5 linked regions of the Xenopus tropicalis genome follow. The protein of the gene in region 3 interacts with the protein of the main gene of each other region in a pairwise test. Links are inferred from orthologs where the notes say so. Each region holds a gene or a part of one and is shown on either strand. Other genes may lie near its edges.

Region 1 (3,518 bases), on a different chromosome or scaffold from region 3:
ATATATGGGGTACAGAGGGTGTATATATATGGGGTACAGAGGGTGTATATATATGGGGTACAGAGGGTGTATATACAGTATATGGGGTACAAAGGGTATATATATAAGGTACAGAGGGGAATATGGCAGCAGAAGGCAGTGCAAATGATATTGGTGGTAGAAGGATTTGGGCACCATGTGTTGCCCCAGCGAGTGTTGCACCAGAGGGGGGCAAGTGACATTGCCTTACAGAGCGCTGGTGAGTTTCCACCTACATAGCGACTTTACCCCACCCTCTGTACCCCTTACTTCTCTTTCCCTCTCCCTTTCCCCAACAACCTTCTCTTCTTATAGACATAACGGGCCGAGCCCAGTGTGGTGGGTGAGTGTTGGTTGGCGCCCAGGGTGGCACTTACCGCTGGTCGGATCGTAGGCGTTGCCATCATTCACCAGGACTTTATCAAAGATGATGGTTCCGGGGTCCAGCTGGGGGTAAGTGAGGGCAGCGGAGAAGGCAATGTTTGGGGCAATGGCCGACTCCCCTATTGGACCTGCAGGGGACACACAAGGCACATTATTATTATAAATCAGGGTGTTCCCCTCCCTCTGGCTGATTATACATAGGGTCGAGGGGCAAACGTGATGGACTTGTATCTACCCCAGTTACTATGGATTGTTGTTGCCCTCCTGAGAGGGGTATATTGGGTACAAGGAGTGAGAGAGGGGCTCCTATTGGCTGCAGTGAGATGTTAAAAGGGCGGTTCTCCATCATGTTATAGAATGGCCTATTCCTAGCAACTTTGCAATTGGTCTTCATTATTTATTTGTTATATTTTTTGCATTATGTGCCTCTTCCTCCTCTGCCTCTTTGCAGCTTTCAAATGGGGGTCACTGACCCCGGCAGCCAAACCCTATTGCTCTGTGAGGCTCCAGTTTTATTGTTATTGTTACTTTTTATTTCCTATCTTTCCCTATTGATATTCCCATCTCTCGTTCAAACCTCTGCCTGGTTGCTAGGGTAATTAGGACCCTAGCAACCAGATTGCTGCTGAAATACCACACTAGAGAGTGGATAAACCAAAAGCTAAATAACCGAAAAAAATAAAATAACAAATGAAGACCAATTGCAAATGATCCGGGGGGGGGGGGGCAGTGCCAGGATGGAGGGGGGCTGCCGTACACACATGAAAAAAAATCCCCTTTCCTGGCGAGTTTCCATAATCAACCAGAATTAAATAGCAGGAAATATTCCCGTAAATGACAGTAATAAAGGAAACCCATTAACCCATTAAATTCAGCACAAGGCGGACCTTTCATTAAATAGTTTCCTGTCAGGCCCATAGTTCTGATTCTCTGGGGGGGCGGGGTTATCTATTTAAAGGCACACTGTCCCATTTACATTAGTGTTTAGAAAAGCGGGGGGGGGGGTCACTGGGCATTAACTGTGCCAGCTGGGCATGTAAATGAGTTCCCTATTGCCCAGGGAGGGGGCATTTATCCCACGGGGGCCATTTGCTGGGTGATATTTCCCATTGCGGTACCTTGTTCTCCTCGCAGACCTGGAGCAAAAGAGAGAGAAATAAGAATGAGATACATTAACCCCTTCCCACACGGTTACACGGGGTTATTTAGCCAATGTAAAGTCCAGTAACCCATAGCAACCAATTAGCAAGTAGCATTAACTGAAAGCAAACATCTGATTGGATGCTATGATTTACTACAATTGGGGCCTTTTAATACATTACTCTGTATATTAATGAGAAATGGGGCATTTAGGGGGTAAAAACGATATTATTTCTTATAATTATGTTTATTTCCAAAATATCCTTTATTCCTTACCTGGGGGTCCCACCGGGCCCTGTTTGCCTTGGGCACCATCTTTTCCTGAGGGTCCTGGAGGTCCTTGTGGACCTGGAACTCCTTGTTTTCCCTGAGGGCCTGGGGGGCCAGGAAGCCCGGGGGGTCCTACAATGAGAGAGGTCTCTGTGACAGCTGCATGAGGGGGGGGGGGATGTGCAAGGGCCACAGAGGGTAACTATCCATGAAACAGAAAATGGCTGAATGTGAGAAGTCTGACCTTTAGGGGGCAGTATACTCCCACGTGAGCCCAATACTGAAAGACTGGAACAAAGAGATATTGTTTTTGGCCGGCGGAGTCCCTTCCACCCTTAAACCTTCACAATCAGTGTAAAAATAGAAATAAGTTGTGAATAGTAAGCCCCTCCCACCACTGGGCGTGTCTTTAATATTAAATAGCTTTAATTCATTTGTGGGACCATGTTGTCGCCCTTCAGTATATATTGTACCTTGAAATATTGGTATATACTGGTATATATTGGGCTCACACTGGTATATATTGGGCTCGCACTGGTATATATTGGGCTCACACTGGTATATATTGGGCTCACACTGGTATATACTGGGCTCACACTGGTATATATTGGGCTCGCACTGGTATATATTGGGCTCGCACTGGTATATATCGGGCTCACACTGGTATATATCGGGCTCACACTGGTATATATCGGGCTCGCACTGGTATATATCGGGCTCGCACTGGTATATATTGGGCTCGCACTGGTATATATTGGGCTCACACTGGTATATATTGGGCTCACACTGGTATATATTGGTCTCATACTGGTATATACTGGGCTCACACTGGTATATATTGGGCTCACACTGGTATATACTGGGCTCGCACTGGTATATATTGGGCTCGCACTGGTATATATTGGGCTCGCACTGGTATATATTGGGCTCACACTGGTATATATTGGTCTCATACTGGTATATACTGGGCTCACACTGGTATATATTGGGCTCACACTGGTATATACTGGGCTCACACTGGTATATATTGGGCTCACACTGGTATATATTGGGCTCGCACTGGTATATACTGGGCTCGCACTGGTATATATTGGGCTCGCACTGGTATATATTGGGCTCGCACTGGTATATATTGGGCTCGCACTGGTATATATTGGGCTCAGACTGGTATATATTGGGCTCGCACTGGTATATATCGGGCTCGCACTGGTATATATCGGGGCTCGCACTGGTATATATCGGGCTCGCACTGGTATATATGGGCTCGCACTGGTATATTTTGGGCTCAGACTGGTATATATTGGGTTTGCACTGGTATATATTGGGCTCACACTGGTATATATTGGGCTCGCACTGGTATATATTGGGCTCGCACTGGTATATATTAGGCTCGCACTGGTATATATCGGGCTCGCACTGGTATATATCGGGCTCGCACTGGTATATATCGGGCTCGCACTGGTATATATCGGGCTCACACTGGTATATATTGGGCTCAGACTGGTATATATTGGGTTTGCACTGGTATATATTGGGCTCAGACTGGTATATATTGGGTTTGCACTGGTATATATTGGGTTTGCACTGGTATATATTGGGCTCACACTGGTATATATTGGGCTCGCACTGGTATATATCGGGCTCGCACTGGTATATATCGGGCTCGCACTGGTATATATTGGGCTCGCACTGGTATATATTGGGCT
Region 2 (4,167 bases), on a different chromosome or scaffold from region 3:
AAACAGCAGAGCAGGAATGCATATTGTAAGGTCACTCCTGTGACTAAAGGTAGGCATATATGGGCAGATTTAAGTTGCTGATTTGAACCCTACAGACCAATTCAGCAGCTTATCTGCACGTGTATGGGGACCCTGGACGGGTCTACCAAACCAATATCTGGCCTAAAATTGGGCAGATGTCGATTAGGCAGTTTTGATTTTTTTTCCATCATTTTTCCCTTGCTCTGACAGGTGCTTATCCTGGCGGATTACTCCGGTGGAAAGATCCACTTGTTTGGCGTCCTCGAGCTTAAAGTCTTGGACTAAGATTGTATGCTTAACAAAACTCAACAACTCAGCAAAAGAAAAAGGACTTCACTTCAACAGATAATGCTGCCCTACCCCTTTGTCAATCATAAACAGAGAATAATATGTCATATCTTTTGGAGTAAAATATAATGCTGGGTAGACTAAACAAGTAGTAGTTGTTGCAGGTAGCAGCCTACCAATACACAATTTAATATTTAATTACATAAATAAAAATGATGTATATATGTCAAACACAAGTAAGTGATTTATGCTTTATCAAATATATTGCAGATAACATAAATGCCATGGGCATTCATTCTTTGAATACCCTGCGCACTGTTAGGGCTCTGGCAGACGGGGAGACTAGTCACCCGCGACAGATCTCCCTTGTCGCGGGCGACTAATCTCCCCGAAATTCCATCCCACCGGTGAAAATGTAAGTCGCCGGTGGGATGGCATCCGCGGCCTTGAGAGGATTTTGGGGAAATCGCGGCACTGTGTATGCCATCCCACCTGCGATTTACATACTCGCCGGTGGGATGGTATTTCGCGGAGATTAGTCGCCCACGACAAGGGAGATTTCTCGCAGGCGACTAGTCTCCCCATCTGCCAGAGCCCTTAGGGCTGTGAGACACGGGGAGATAAGTCGCTGCGCGACAGATCTCCCTTGACACGGGTGACTAATCTCCCCAAAATGCCATCCCAGCGGCTAGAATGTAAATCCCCAGTGGGATGGCATACGCGGCATGTATACCACCTCAAAATGCAAGACTGATGTCCTATTAGTATCCACAAAACAAGCAGATGGTGCTGTATTTTTACTTGAACCCAAAGTGCAGGAGGTAAATGCAAGGACTGATGGCAGGTTGTATAGCACTATAAAATTAAACTGTAATGTAGATTACTATGCATTTGACAATGTTGCTTACACCAGTGGGGATATCTTTCATGTTCTGTGCTCTGTTACTGAGGGCACAAAGAGAACAGTACCAACCAGCGGGCCCCCTGGTTTAGCCAAAAAGCATGGGGCTAAAGATCCCTTCAACGTTACCTGATCAGGTAGAGATACTGAAAATGCTATTTTTTCAGATTAATGCACATTGGAAACATTATTTAAATTTACAAATTTAAATCCTTAAAAATCCCCACATCGCCTTTAAAACAAACACTGGCACTAGGACCTGTACTGGAGCACAGGGTATATCAAAGCAGGTCTGACACTGGAATCAACAGCAAAACGCCTGGAGTAGTGCTAGTCACAGGGCTACCTAGCACATGATGTCTGTATGTTCAAATCCAGATATCCATTATAACAGTCAACAAAAGCTGGAATATTGTTTTGTTTTTTTAAATGCTTGCAGATGTCTGCAAAAATGCTCGTGAGTATTGCTCAGTTTCATTGGTATTGCACAATTTCTTGTGTTTATAGTACATTCAGGCAGCAATGGCGCATATATCTTAAATGCTTGAAAGTTGCACATGTAAGCGAGCAGCCAGCAGAAAAAGTCCATAGTCTAGAAAGCTAAGCAAAGTACAAAGTTAACACTGGGGGGTGATTTAAAGGTGATGTAAACCAAAAATTAAACTTTGCCTAATGAAAGGAAATGTAATTTAAAGAAACTTTCCATTAAATAATCATCAAATAAATCCAAGTTGTTTGTAAACGGAACTGAAAGCAGAAACCTACTGTCCCTTTCTGCACTGCTACTTCTCTCCTGAAACCCTATAGCAGGAGTCAGCCTTGCATTGTTCTTTGCAGGTTAATCAGCTGGCTTCTGCTACATTGCTTCAAAAGTCACAACCACCAGGGCAGAGGACAGGAACAGCCAGATAGATGCTGCTTTTAATAGCAGTTATAGTTACATATTAGTTCAAAACCATTGACTGTTTGGGGGGGGGGAGGCATTAATTTAAGAATATAAATATAATGAATGTGCTTTATTGTAGGATAATGAAAATATGTAAAACTCTCCATATACCTGCATGTAACTACAAGTATATTTAATGTATCATCTCACAATTACATCTATACTGGATACTGTTCCATGCATGCAGAAAGCAGCCAATCCCAAGCACAGTGGGGCATTGCATGCAGCCGGGACACAGCACAGAGAGAACCAAATAACACTGCACGGCCAGTCATTAAATACATGTAGCAAGTTATGCCGGCCACATGAGCACACATATACACAAGTAACATCCAAAAGGCTCCCTGGTTCTCATATAAGCAGGGCGGACGCGGTATGTGCACTGTCAGTGGATATATGTTATACATTATGTGCAATGACATACGTGCCTAGCAAGCTCAGATGCAGAACGAACAGGATACAACTGGATAAGTAAAGTTGCAACTTGCCGCCCAGGCGAGAAACTCACCAGAGGAGAGCAACTGGGAGCCGGTGGCCAAGCTCCTGACCAAGCACGACCTCCATACCAGGCGGCACTCCTGGGCGGGACGCCGCACAAGGGTCACTGTACTCAGGACTCTCATCGCGCTCAGCACACGCATCGCCATTTTCCTGAGCGCTGAGCTCCAGGTGCCGCGCCGATACAACGTTCCGGGTCGGCGTGAGATCAGGACAGGGGAGCGCGCATGCGCACTAAGGGGGCGGGGTTAAGGTGCTGGCATGGCTGCGTTAGAAGCGATAAAGTTGCAGGTTCTATGTAGTTGAGAATTATTAGCCCAAATACGCACATTTATATAATAGTAGCATATTAAGAAATATTTGCAGTACAGGTAACCAAAATTAACTTTTGTAACTGATCAGTTTTACAATACACGGAAAGCATTGTGATCAATCACGTTTGCATTATGCTGTGGTACCGTACAATTTACAGTTTATGGGGTTTGCACTATAAAGAATCAATCATGAAATATATTTTTAACAAATTACGAACCCTACATAAGCCAAAGGTGTAAGCTAGAAGACAAATGTGGAACAGAACAACAAGTGGCAGTTGTTGTTGAGCACATAATCCTTGTGAGAAAAATTCTATTCCTTAAAAGTACTTGCCTCCATAGCCAATTTCTGCTCTATTAACTGGAATTTCAGCATTTAAAGGGGCACTGAAGCTCCCCTGTTCACAGGGCCACTCCTGCAATGAGGAGGCCCCAGAAATGTCATTGCCTGAAAGCCACTTTTTATGCAAGAAAGTAGTTTATTTGCTTTAGTAGCCACTGATTGACATGGTAATGGTTTATTATTCATAAAAGTCCCCAGATCCTTTCCAATTATGGATGCCCACAACACAATACCATTTAGTGTACAGCTTCCATTTATGTTATTAGTGCATAACCTTGCACCTATTAACATGTAACTTTATTTCCTAATTTGCTGCCTAGTTTTCCATTTTAGTCAAATCTCTGAGCAAAGTGGCAGCATCCCGCATAGAAATTATAGTTTCATACAATTTATTATCATTAGCAAAAATAGAGATAGTACTTACACAATTCCCACCTCAAGATTATTAATAAACAAATGAAAAAGCAGTGCCAAGGTACTCCACTAATAACACTTGTCCACAGGCTAGGACAGGGTCAGCAGGACTACAGGAGAAAACCTAGCGGGCCCAGGCTCAAACCTAGGCCCACTGCCTGCCTGGTGTGGCAAAAGTACACAGTGGGGTGCTTGAAAACCTGAAGTGTAATGCATTGTATATAACAGATCCTATTTCTATATGGTAGATTATGTCCTTATGCTTTGCCTGCCAGATATGGCATATCAAATGTTATTTACTCTAAGGACAAGTTAAGGATTCATCACTGGGGTATGCTAGTATTATTAACTCAGACCCTTGGTTCGACTAAAAAATTCACTTGCCCAGGTCGGTATTCTAGAGAACACCACGTTTCTATCTTGTGAATTGGATCCAACATGG
Region 3 (4,195 bases):
TGGCAGGTCCAGGCAGCTGGAATATCCAGAGTCCCCTTGTGCAAGTATCTGTGTATTTCATCGCAGTAGGCTAAAAGGGAGCATTTGCTGTTCCCACAAGTTGCAAAGGACCATGTCTGGGCCAAATCACTTTCTGAATATCATCAATGTATCCAAACTAGCATCCTGCACTTGCATTCAAAAGTAATAGCCACAGAGATACAGCAAATGTGCGGAAAGTGGGAAACGTACTTTATAATGCAGAAGGGAAAGAGATCACAAAGAATCCTACAGAAATATAGTTTGGAAGTTCTTTCTCTTTTCACTTTACAGGTAAACACATTCCAATGAGCTTGACTTTCATTTAACTTCATAACAGAGAGAAAAGTTACTGAGCCTTCTGTACCTGTAACCCTTGTAGGGACCTGAGGGCACCCCCAGGCAGTCGGTTTACTGTCATTTATAACAAACAAGGGGAGGTTGTGCCCACCACTAAATATTAAGCCATTAGGCGGGGGTGCAATGAGGCTGTGACCAGAGGGGGGGGCATTGCTTGGTAACAATGTACAAAATGTCTTAATGTTCTGTATATATTGATAATGGGTGAGTGGAAAGGACCTCTTGTCGCTGCCTGTATACGTTTTTGTAATTTGCCATAAAGTCTGACTGCGAATTTCACATGATAACAATCAGGAAGCGGTAAAAAAAGGTTAAAGGACCTCAACCCCCTCAAATAATTTTTGCCTAATGAAATAAAATTAGAATTATATTTTCTTTTATTAGGAAAACATTATTTTTGGGTAAATGTGATGTTTAAAGAAGACATATTAGATAAATGAAATAAAAACCCTCTAATTCTGTAGGCAGTTATGAATAATACAGTATATGGTGCTGGTTTCACTTTGGTCGAAAAATGAACATTATCTATAAAAATGGCCCCTTTGTTGGAGCTCCCTATAGAGCAGGGATCCCCAACCTTCTATACCTGGGAGCTACATTCAAATGGTGTTGGGAGCAACGCAAGCATGGAAAAAATTCCTGGGGTGCAAATAAGGGCTATAATTGGCTATTTGGTAGCCCCTATGTGGATTGGCAGCCTATAGAAGGCTCTGTTTGGTTTTACACTGAGTTTAATGCAACCAAAACTTGCCCCCAAGTCAGGAATTCAAAAATAAGCCCCTGCTTTGAGGCCCCTGGGAGCAACATCACAGTCTGTGTTTCAAATGAGGGGTGGGCGTGTTCTAATTAGGGATGCAAGATTTGCGAAACGCCAAAAAAAAAAAAAATCCTTTTGACGCGGACGACAATTCTTTTGATGTACGACAATTTGTTTTGATGCAGGTGACAATTTTTGGACGCACTGCAAATTTTTTCATCTGTTTCGCAAAAAAATCCGCCAATGGTGAAATGCCGAAATTCGCTGCGAATCAATGCCTGGTGAAACATTTCGCCCATCACTAAAGGACAGGCTTCAGGTCAGCCTAGCTGCTGATTGGTTCCTATCCTACAGTGCAGTGTGCTGAGTGCTGTGAGCCCCCCTGCACAGCCTGGGAAAGGAGCAGCAGGAAGTGGAACAGATGGGCGGGACTAGTGTCAGACTGGCCTATCAGGATACCAGGAAAACTCCCGGTGGGCTCTCCTGCTCCTGACCATTTGGCCTGTTTCATGGTCATTCCCTATTTCTGAATGAAAACAAAGAGGAGAAATAGATGGAAGAATAGATGCTAGCATGTAAATAAAAGAGACTAGGAGACAAGGAGAAAAACTGTTTGGAGAGTGGGCCTAGGGTGTAAGGTTTTCAGGTGGGCCCCTGGGTTCTCAGCCCGACACTGGGCGGGACTAGTGGGGTTTTGGGGTAATTTCTAAATAAATCAGCTCAAAACACTACTTTTTTAAGCACAATCCTTCTATAGGAGGAGAACATTCTTCACTTTAACAAGAAATGTCTCAATTAAATAAAAAATGTAGAGAAACCACAAAAGTATTGTGTATTAGTGGCAGACATGCAGCTCTGCTAAACCAATGTAGCCATTAAAGGAGACATATTGGATAAATGGGAAAAAAAGGTAATTTTGTAGGCAATTATGAATAATATCCGGTGCTGGTTTCCCTTTGGGCTAAACATTAACCCTATCTGTAACAATGGCCCCTTTATTGGAGCTCCCTATAGATCCTCTCACTTCTCTGTCCGAGTTTGAAATGAAGAGTGGGCGTGTCCTAACGGTCCCTGCCAGAAGCACAGTAGGAGGGGGAGAGCCAATCACAGCCCTGCAGTCACACAAGCACAGACAGGCTTCAGTTCCCTATCAGGTCAGCCTAGCTGCTGATTGGTTCCTATCCTACAGTGCAGGGTACGGAGGGCCGCCAGCTCCCCAGCTCATCCAGAGAATTCAGCCAGCAGGAAGTGGCACAGATGGGCGGGGCTAGTGGGCTTTTTCTGGAATTTCTCAAAAAATCATTTTGAAACACAACTTTTTAAGCCCAATCCTTCTATATCTAGAGGAGTATAATTCACTGGTACAGTCATAATTTTTATAGGATATGTCTCCTTTAAGGTCCCACCAGTCTGGTTAGTAACATAACAGCCATTAGGCAGAATGCTCACTCATACACCCAGTCACAGCCCTACAGGGAGGGGGAGGCAGTTGCTTACCCAGCGCAGCGCAGTCTGTGCTCAGGAGTCGCAATCCCGACTGTCCAGGAATATTCCCAGCGATAACCTTAACTTCTGAGAAAATTTTCAAATGTATTATCTGTGTGTGTCTGGTAAGGATTCTGTCTAATAAACGAGCTGAGATATTGTGTGTCCTTCCGTTTCTCCTGAATAGAAACCGAATGTAACTACGGCTGCGCTTTCACTTTCTCTTTGTTACATATAACTCCCCCATACAGCGCTGTCTCTGCGTCTGAGCCGCTCACGGAGGGACTGGACATGTCAGGTGGGTGCTTTCTGCTTGCTACAAAGTCGCAACGTCCCTTTTAACTGGAATATAGTATAGAAAGAAAGAGAGTCCTGCGACTATGTAAAGAGAGAGTCGGAACAACAGAGTTGGATCTAACTGGAGTCACAATAATATAGGGAACTTTTCTGAAAAATTGTGATTTTGTGAATCACAAATGGAGTGTCATATAAAACAGATTTATTATTGTTAATATAGAGGGGGGTAGATGTTTAGGGTATGAATGTGGGGTTCAGCCCTTGTGAATATGGATTAATTCTTATAGCAGCTGAGGGTCTTGTTTGAAATCATTACTGCTTATTATACTATAGATAGGGGCACCCACTATGGGAATATTAAGGATATCAGAGCTTAGGAATCATCTAAGGGTGAAGACACACAGAGCTACTAGTAGCAGCTACTTGTTGTGGCTACTAAAATAGACAATGCTGATCATTTACTGATACTTATCTCTAGGTGTGTTTTAGCAGAGGCAATTCTCAGTATTGTCTATGGCAGGGGATTTTCTGGTGTTTAGTAGCCGTGACAAGTAGCTGCTACTCAGTAGCTCTGTGTGTCTTCACCCTAACAGTTACAGGACAATACAGGTATAGATCTGCTATCTGCAATACTTGCAGCCTGGGGTTTTCTGGATAATGAGTCTATTAACAACACCAATGTTTATGCAGCTGATTTACCTTCATAGAAACAGCACAGTTTTAATATGAAATAAGGAACAGGAAATAAGACCAGCGGCAGACCGAGCCGGACAGGTGCCCTAGGCAAGCCAGCTGCCCACTTTGCCCCCACTGTGCCTGCACAAACAAGCAAGTGTGTGTGGACATTGGCTACTTGGGCAGAAGGGAGATAAAGAGCAGCCAGTGGGGGAACAAGGGCCCAAACTAAGGGTACATGGGGTACATGCCTATTGCCCCCCAATCATGGCACCCTAAGCCTGTGCCTCCTGTGCCTACCCCTAGTTCCGGCCCTGAATCTGACACTGTATAAGATAGGTTTGCTTATGGAATATGGAGCTTTCTGGATAAAGAGTTCCTGGATATTAGATTCAATACTTATACAAAGGCACAAGGCTGCCTGCCAAGCAAGGACTTTTATACCCAATAAATAGTTTCAGGAAGGGATTATTATTATTGCACAGCAGGTAAATACACAGATAAATACGCACCTATTCTGCATTACCTCCACCAGCAGTACATAGGGAAACAATACTAGCACCGGGGCACCGGGTGGGGCCAATACGGCTTTGTACACTGACA
Region 4 (3,953 bases), about 48 Mb from region 3:
TGGAAAAAGGAGAAAAGGCACAGGTTACATAGCAGATAACAGATAAGCTCTGTAGAATACAATAGTGTTTTATCTGTTATCTGCTATGTGCCTGTGCCTTTTCTCCTTTGAATGGCTGCCCCCATGGCTACACAGCAGCTTATTTATATAAATTATAGTAGACTTTCTGAAGTAAACACACAACTTTTACCAGTGCAGGGCAGCAGCACATTATATTTTAGTTACTTTTATACACTTTCATTTTTTGGTGTTACTGTTCCTTTAAAAGAAGACAAGGAGAAAAATAAGATAAGAATTGAATACCAGTCAGTAGTGTCTGAAGAACATACTGCAAGCAAACGACCATGCACAATAAATTGAGATTGATGACAAAAAAACCAAACATTAATTAGTTTGAAATTAGCTGGAGTTTGAAATGGTAGGAGGAATTATTTGCAAAGCGCACAGTGTAATAGTATTACAGAATAAACAAAATCATGATAATATCCCTTTAAGTAGAAAAAGGACATGGGATCAAGGGAGCAAATTTTGAGCAGTGCTGACACACTTCAGAATTTTAATGTCTTTATGCCCATGTTCATAATGTGACGGAGCCAGTTAGGAAAGGGGACTTATAATATTATATATATATATATATATTACAGCCATTTCTTACACTTGCTGTCACATATCCATAGGCGGTCTGATACCGCCGCCGATGCGTGTCGCATCGGTGCCTGACTGTGCTCGTTCCTGGTGAGTAGCCGATGCTGGCGCTGCTCGTCACTTTCCTATGCATAAAGCAGTTGTATCCAGGCACGTCTGAGCATTGCCGCATGTCTGAATCTGCACGTATGATGCCGCGCGTGCAGGTGGCCCACGGAGGAAGGGGTGTAGGTGCGCGCGCAGCGATCGCATTTCACCAGCATCTATGTACCGTATATATGCGAGTATGGGGCATGGGGCAGTCGGTTCGGGGACCACATCAACGAGCCGATGCGGTCCCCGATCCGACTGGATTTTCTAACCTGGCCGATTGAGATCTGGCCAATTTCAGGCCAGATATCGGTCGGCCAGGCCGCTCGGTTCTGCCCATACACGGGCCGATTAGCTGCCGAATCTTTAGTGTCAGCATACTTTTGACCATGTAGTTTACTCAGAGAGCCTTGAATCTATTATTCACCAGCACAAAAAAACAAAAACAGAGCAATTTCTAAGGTAAAGCATCATGGGAATGAGCCTTCAGAGCATTACAGTGCCAATCTTTTATCTCCATTTCCTTGGGATAGGCAATCATCACCCTGCCCTATACACATGCTTCTAACAAGAGAAGCACTGGTTTTAAAGGAAGGGATTTAGGAATTAAGGCACTTACATTTAGGAGGTGAGGAGGGATAATCATCCTTAAAAAGCATCCGTAATTTAAATAAGCCACCTTCCCAAGGGGTCTGCAAGAAGAAGAAAAAATGAAATTGCAGATATAAGTTATGGGTAGAATCACTGGTTTATAAACAGATTTAATATAGTCCATAACCAGGACATTAAACTATTTTTTTTCTCTCCAAGAGACAATATTCTTCATAGGTCACCAATTTCACTCTAGTCTTTTTTAAAATATTTTTGCAGGTACTATGGTGACAGATTGCAAAAAAAACAAACCATTCCTGCTCCTGGTAAGGAGGATTGGCTGGAGGAGCCATGAAGTGAAATTGCATGTTATTGCAGTCTGTAGTGTTTATTACAGCTCACACAGCCACTAGAGAGTTTGAACCCTTCATCTCCCCTGAGGAATATGTAGTCACACAGCAGATGGGTAGTTGTGGCTTATTTAAAAGGGAAACATTTGTATAAATAGAGTAAATCATGTTTAAATGACCAAGCGTCATTTTAGCACCAAACACAGAAGCTATTTTGCTGCCCTGCTCAGATGGGTTCCATTAAGCCCAGTGCAGCAAACCTAACTGCTGCCAATCACAATTCACCTCACTCCACTTGCAGACCCTGGGGCATTTCAGTCCCCAAAGTCAATAAACAGGAGGTTTAGTGGATATTTTTAAGCTCCATGGGCTGGATGTGGTCCTTCAAGGGATTTTAATGGCCTAGGATTCATCCACAGCCATTATAATCTGTCCTCAGACATGTAGCATAGTGCATACGTGTTAGTTCAGTGCATGAAAGGTTGTCCTTTTACACCTAAACAGCATTTACAAGCTGGTAATGTGATCAGATGTAGGATATAAAACTGCCCCCCCTGCATGTTTCCTTCGAGTGTTCCATAGGGTTGCATGTGTCACAGCCCCTGGGTGCCAGGCAATGGTGCATCCTGTAACCAAGCAAAGTGCAATACCTGCTAACTGCAGCTACACCTGAATGTAAGTGTGTTAAGGTTGTACATTGGTTATGCAAGGTTGCAGAAGGTTGCTTCACTTATTTGGCTATTTTATGGTATCAAGGGAGCACTGCTAGGTAGAAATTCTGTACTGCTGTTTCAGGGAAGGATTCTAACACTTACCCCTTTCTTGCCTGGAATAGCACATTCCCAGTTCATCAAATTCATTGTGCCATCTGGATTTTTCGTTGGTACTGCCACAAAACCCTTAAAATAGATAAGAAAAAAACCCCCAAAGTATTAGTTTTTAAGTTGTTTGCATCTTAAAAGGGCAGGGCAGTTTAACAATTTAGGATTTTTTTTTTTAAACTACTTATACTATTTCTTGAAGAGAACACTGTTCTGGTTAGTTTTTCACTTTCTTGAACTTACAAAAGGATGGTCTTTTCTCCACGCTTTTCTCTCCTGTGCAAGTCTGCTCAGGGCTATGCCAGACATTTCAGGGTTCCTGCAGAAAAGAAATTAATACTGGTGAAATAACAGTATACATAACCAAACATAGTTTAAACAGAAAATAAGCAAACTTACTGCAATGTATCCAAAAACTTGCATGACAGTGACACCTAGTGGTTGAACTCTAGTAATCTGAATATGAAACGTATATGCTTATTACCGAGGCAGTAAAGAGTCAAAAGCATTAATGCGTCCTGTAAAGGCAGTAAAACCACCACTTTTCCACATTAGTGTAAACATATATTATTCTTAGAGCAACTTTAAAAGGTAAATGTCATTTTGTAGAGTTTTGTTAACACTGGAGTATTTGTATTCTTACCTCATGGGGCAAAATTACGGTTTGTGACCATTGCAGCATAATATAAATGTAACCCTTTATATTATACGTACCACAGATATCAGGATAATAATCCAAGATACACCCTACTTGCACATCATAAACACTGTACAAGGAACCCTGCAATGCTTCCCAGGCTGTTTGGTATAACAGTCTAAGAGCGCATATAAAAGGCATATTAGTGCGGTAAGCGCAAATCCAAATGTGTAAATGGCAGCTCCTGGCCCAGCATTGAGTAGGCTGTCACAGTTAAGTCCCCCACCCACAAGGATTTTCCTTCATATTGAGATTTACATCAACACATTTCCAATGCATAACTAATATTAAATTCTGAATTCTGTCACTTGGTGACGCATGTACCAAAAGGAATCACCCAGAAAACTCATCTGGAGCCGTCAATAATTGCCACTCCCATCCTCTGAGGTCAAAACTCACACAAAGGTGTGGCACTGCTTGCTGCAGCACACACTGGGTAATGCTCTTCCTATGGTTATGGGTGCTGGCACTGGCAGCAGCGGGCTATGCCAAAGCAAGCATTTCAGAGTAGAGGCTGCCTGTCACTGCAAAGAGTTTGCTGTGCTCTGCTATGGCAACTGGACAGTTTTTGGACCACAAGTGCCAAGTTCAGCGGTGGCATGGTATGCCAGCAGAGAAAACCAACCTGTTGCCTTCCTTTCCTTTACGTGTGCGCTGACAGGTAGATTTGGGCATGAAAATTAATACTTTAGCAATTCCATGCTGCACGCGTGCCGGCAAGCTGACCCCATGCCCCCCCCCCCTCCCTCCCTGAGAAGC
Region 5 (2,490 bases), on a different chromosome or scaffold from region 3:
GTTTGGATGGAAGGATTGCACCAATTAATAACACACTAACAATAACACACACCCCGGTTAGAAAGCAAAGATGTGATTGGCTGTGCTGGGCTACTACACCTGCTGCTAATTATGTGGCTTTTACTGCATTACTTTCAGGGCCACCATCAGGGGGGGCAGTCGATTCTCGCTTATGATACAGTGTTTTGGCTAGGGCCCTCTTTAAACAATTATGGGCCTGTCATTGGTGGTCAGCGGGACGCAGCAGGGAGCCAGAGGTCACAGGGGATAGCGGGAAACAGGCCATAGTATGGGGACACTGGGGGAGAACCACCAATGTTTTAGGGGGCCAGCCCAGCAGAACACAAAGCAGCCACTGGCAAGGAAAATCCTTTTATCTCCCCATTGCCCCCCCCCCCCATGCTGTTACCCTAAATCCGATAATGAATATATATACCAGAACCTGAATAGATTCTCTACTTGCTCTTATTGACAATAAATAATTAGCAACAACAATACCTGGAACAGATTGAAGTCTACTTCATTACTGTACAAACATTCTCAGTCACAAATACATTAGCTTTCCCTTTGATATTTAATACACGGATAGAGATAGAACATAACATCACCTCTACTGCTGCTGCCGAGGACCACAGCTCCCAGCATGCTCAGCCAGCCGTCGGAAACTGCAGTTTGGCAGGTCAGAAGTGTGACATCCCCTAAGGTTAGTTTAAGCATTCACAAATAATCTATTAATTACAATCACATATACGAGAAAAGAAAAGACAAACACAGGTACAACGAAGTGCAGGCAATTAGATCATTTGGGTGTTGTGCAAAATGTGCAATTTGGGAGCCTGTAGGAGTGTCTGAGGGAGAGGTAGGGGGTTTCAGAGGCAAATTCAAGTGTTCATTATGTAACATTGCCATCTGGTGGCCGAACCCCAGAACAACATATACATGTCCCAGGGGCCTATTTCTAAAACTGCAAGGAAATGTAAATGCAGGAAAATATTTAACAACAATTTCTCCATCTGTTTTTCCAGGGTTTATTCTGGACTGCAGTTTTTATAAACAGGCCCCTAGGGCTATGTAACCCGTGGCTCTCCTACTGAGAGTTGTAGTTCTGGGGAGCCACAGACTGACGATCACTGCACAAGGCAAACTAGACCTAAATAATCAAACACCAAGGAAATGGATTAAACTGATTCTATAGGGCTTATATAGGCAGGGATTTCTTATCTACACCTGTTGGCTGCCATTGGATTTGCAGCACAGGTATCTAATAGGATCACACTGATGGCACCAAAGGAGTATGTAGTGCATGCGTCACGTGTGTGTGTAAACGTGTCCCCTCCCTGTATGTTACACACTGACTGTGTATGGCAGGGTTGGGGGGCACAGTAATGCTTAAAGACCCTGATATGTGCAAAGCTTCCCCTAAACTTGCCGGAAATCTCAAATATCCAATAGCTTCCACTGAGGCTTCCCGTCACAGCACTGCCATTGGTGCTCAGCTCTACAAGCAGGAAGCCTCGGATTGGTCAATATATCTGTTTTATCCTATCACAGCCAGCCATGTAATAGGGCAGTTACTTACATTATTGATAAGTAGTAACTACAGTACAGTAAGAGAGGAGAACATACTGTGTGCAAAGAATGCCCCTGCTCTGCTTATTTGCATTTATATTTGGGTGGGTGCTGCCATACTGATTCCTTCTCCATTAATGGTTTTTTACCCATTAAATATATTGTATGGGGATATTCTATCTAGATATAGATAACTCTATACAGCCTAGAAGTTCAGTATAGCATTCCTAACACTGCAAATAGGCAGAAAAGGATTTTTATGCACACAATTAACTCCCCACTACTATACATTTCTCTCTATGCGAAAATAAACCTGTAAACTGTAAACAGTGGCATGATTACATAAGTTGCAGTTGGTCTTCATTTTGTTATTTCTTCAAACTTTCTGTTCCTGCCCTCTAATTTGGAATGTAACCCATTATTTGGTTGTTAAAGTCCCACAGTCCCAGGCAGGGGGGAAAGTAGAATGAAGAGAGAGAATAAAGAGCAACTGCAACCTTGCTGGCATAACAAGACTTAATATACAAAGTTAATATAAGGTGATAGTGTCCCTTTAAGAAATAAAGTGGTTTAAAAAGGATTGGTTGGTTTGGGGTGAGTTTGTTACTGTGGAGTCATGTAAGCATTACTGTGCCCTTGAGTGAAGCCAGAGATTTTGCCAGCATTCCCATTAGGGAGTCTCCAGCACCCCATCCTCTGTCTCCAGTTCGGCAAGCTGCCTCCGGAGAGCATTCACTTTCACTTGCAGCTCCTTGTTGTACTCGATAATGTGAGCCATCTCTTCATAGGCTTCTTCTAGGTACTTGGATGATCTGTTCCAACGCAGGAAAACACCTGATACAGGGAAGGAAGAAGAGTTCTGTCAGTCAACAGCAGAACTATTACTGGGGTGGGGGGGTAAAAAAAGGGGTCACTAACCTA

What was found.
Region 1: the proteins of nmi (region 3) and emilin1 interact in binary tests that used the Homo sapiens proteins (3 or more experiments, as listed by UniProt). The two-hybrid records come from large-scale screens. The link is inferred for Xenopus tropicalis from reciprocal best matches to the Homo sapiens genes NMI and EMILIN1.
Region 2: the proteins of nmi (region 3) and gcsh interact in binary tests that used the Homo sapiens proteins (3 or more experiments, as listed by UniProt). The two-hybrid records come from large-scale screens. The link is inferred for Xenopus tropicalis from reciprocal best matches to the Homo sapiens genes NMI and GCSH.
Region 4: the proteins of nmi (region 3) and ube2i interact in a two-hybrid assay, tested with the Homo sapiens proteins (3 studies listed by BioGRID and IntAct). The link is inferred for Xenopus tropicalis from reciprocal best matches to the Homo sapiens genes NMI and UBE2I.
Region 5: the proteins of nmi (region 3) and mtmr9 interact in binary tests that used the Homo sapiens proteins (3 or more experiments, as listed by UniProt). The two-hybrid records come from large-scale screens. The link is inferred for Xenopus tropicalis from reciprocal best matches to the Homo sapiens genes NMI and MTMR9.

What each region holds. Positions count from the first base shown.
Region 1 is NC_030681.2:161,495,945-161,499,462, reverse strand, and holds part of emilin1 (EMILIN-1), read right to left. Parts: intron 1,945-3,518; coding exon 1,819-1,944; intron 1,539-1,818; coding exon 1,521-1,538; intron 531-1,520; coding exon 396-530; intron 1-395. UniProt on the Homo sapiens protein: Involved in elastic and collagen fibers formation. It is required for EFEMP2 deposition into the extracellular matrix, and collagen network assembly and cross-linking via protein-lysine 6-oxidase/LOX activity.
Region 2 is NC_030680.2:52,712,792-52,716,958, reverse strand, and holds the start of gcsh (glycine cleavage system H protein, mitochondrial), read right to left. Parts: upstream 2,810-4,167; 5' UTR 2,804-2,809; coding exon 2,665-2,803; intron 1-2,664. UniProt on the Homo sapiens protein: The glycine cleavage system catalyzes the degradation of glycine. The H protein (GCSH) shuttles the methylamine group of glycine from the P protein (GLDC) to the T protein (GCST).
Region 3 is NC_030685.2:76,343,481-76,347,675, reverse strand, and holds the start of nmi (N-myc-interactor), read right to left. Parts: upstream 2,814-4,195; 5' UTR 2,633-2,813; intron 1-2,632. UniProt on the Homo sapiens protein: Acts as a signaling pathway regulator involved in innate immune system response.
Region 4 is NC_030685.2:28,777,783-28,781,735, forward strand, and holds the start of ube2i (SUMO-conjugating enzyme UBC9), read right to left. Parts: upstream 2,816-3,953; 5' UTR 2,807-2,815; coding exon 2,741-2,806; intron 2,576-2,740; coding exon 2,492-2,575; intron 1,428-2,491; coding exon 1,355-1,427; intron 1-1,354. UniProt on the Homo sapiens protein: Accepts the ubiquitin-like proteins SUMO1, SUMO2, SUMO3, SUMO4 and SUMO1P1/SUMO5 from the UBLE1A-UBLE1B E1 complex and catalyzes their covalent attachment to other proteins with the help of an E3 ligase such as RANBP2, CBX4 and ZNF451.
Region 5 is NC_030681.2:150,896,158-150,898,647, forward strand, and holds the end of mtmr9 (myotubularin-related protein 9), read right to left. Parts: intron 2,404-2,490; coding exon 2,240-2,403; 3' UTR 505-2,239; downstream 1-504. UniProt on the Homo sapiens protein: Acts as an adapter for myotubularin-related phosphatases. Increases lipid phosphatase MTMR6 catalytic activity, specifically towards phosphatidylinositol 3,5-bisphosphate and MTMR6 binding affinity for phosphorylated phosphatidylinositols.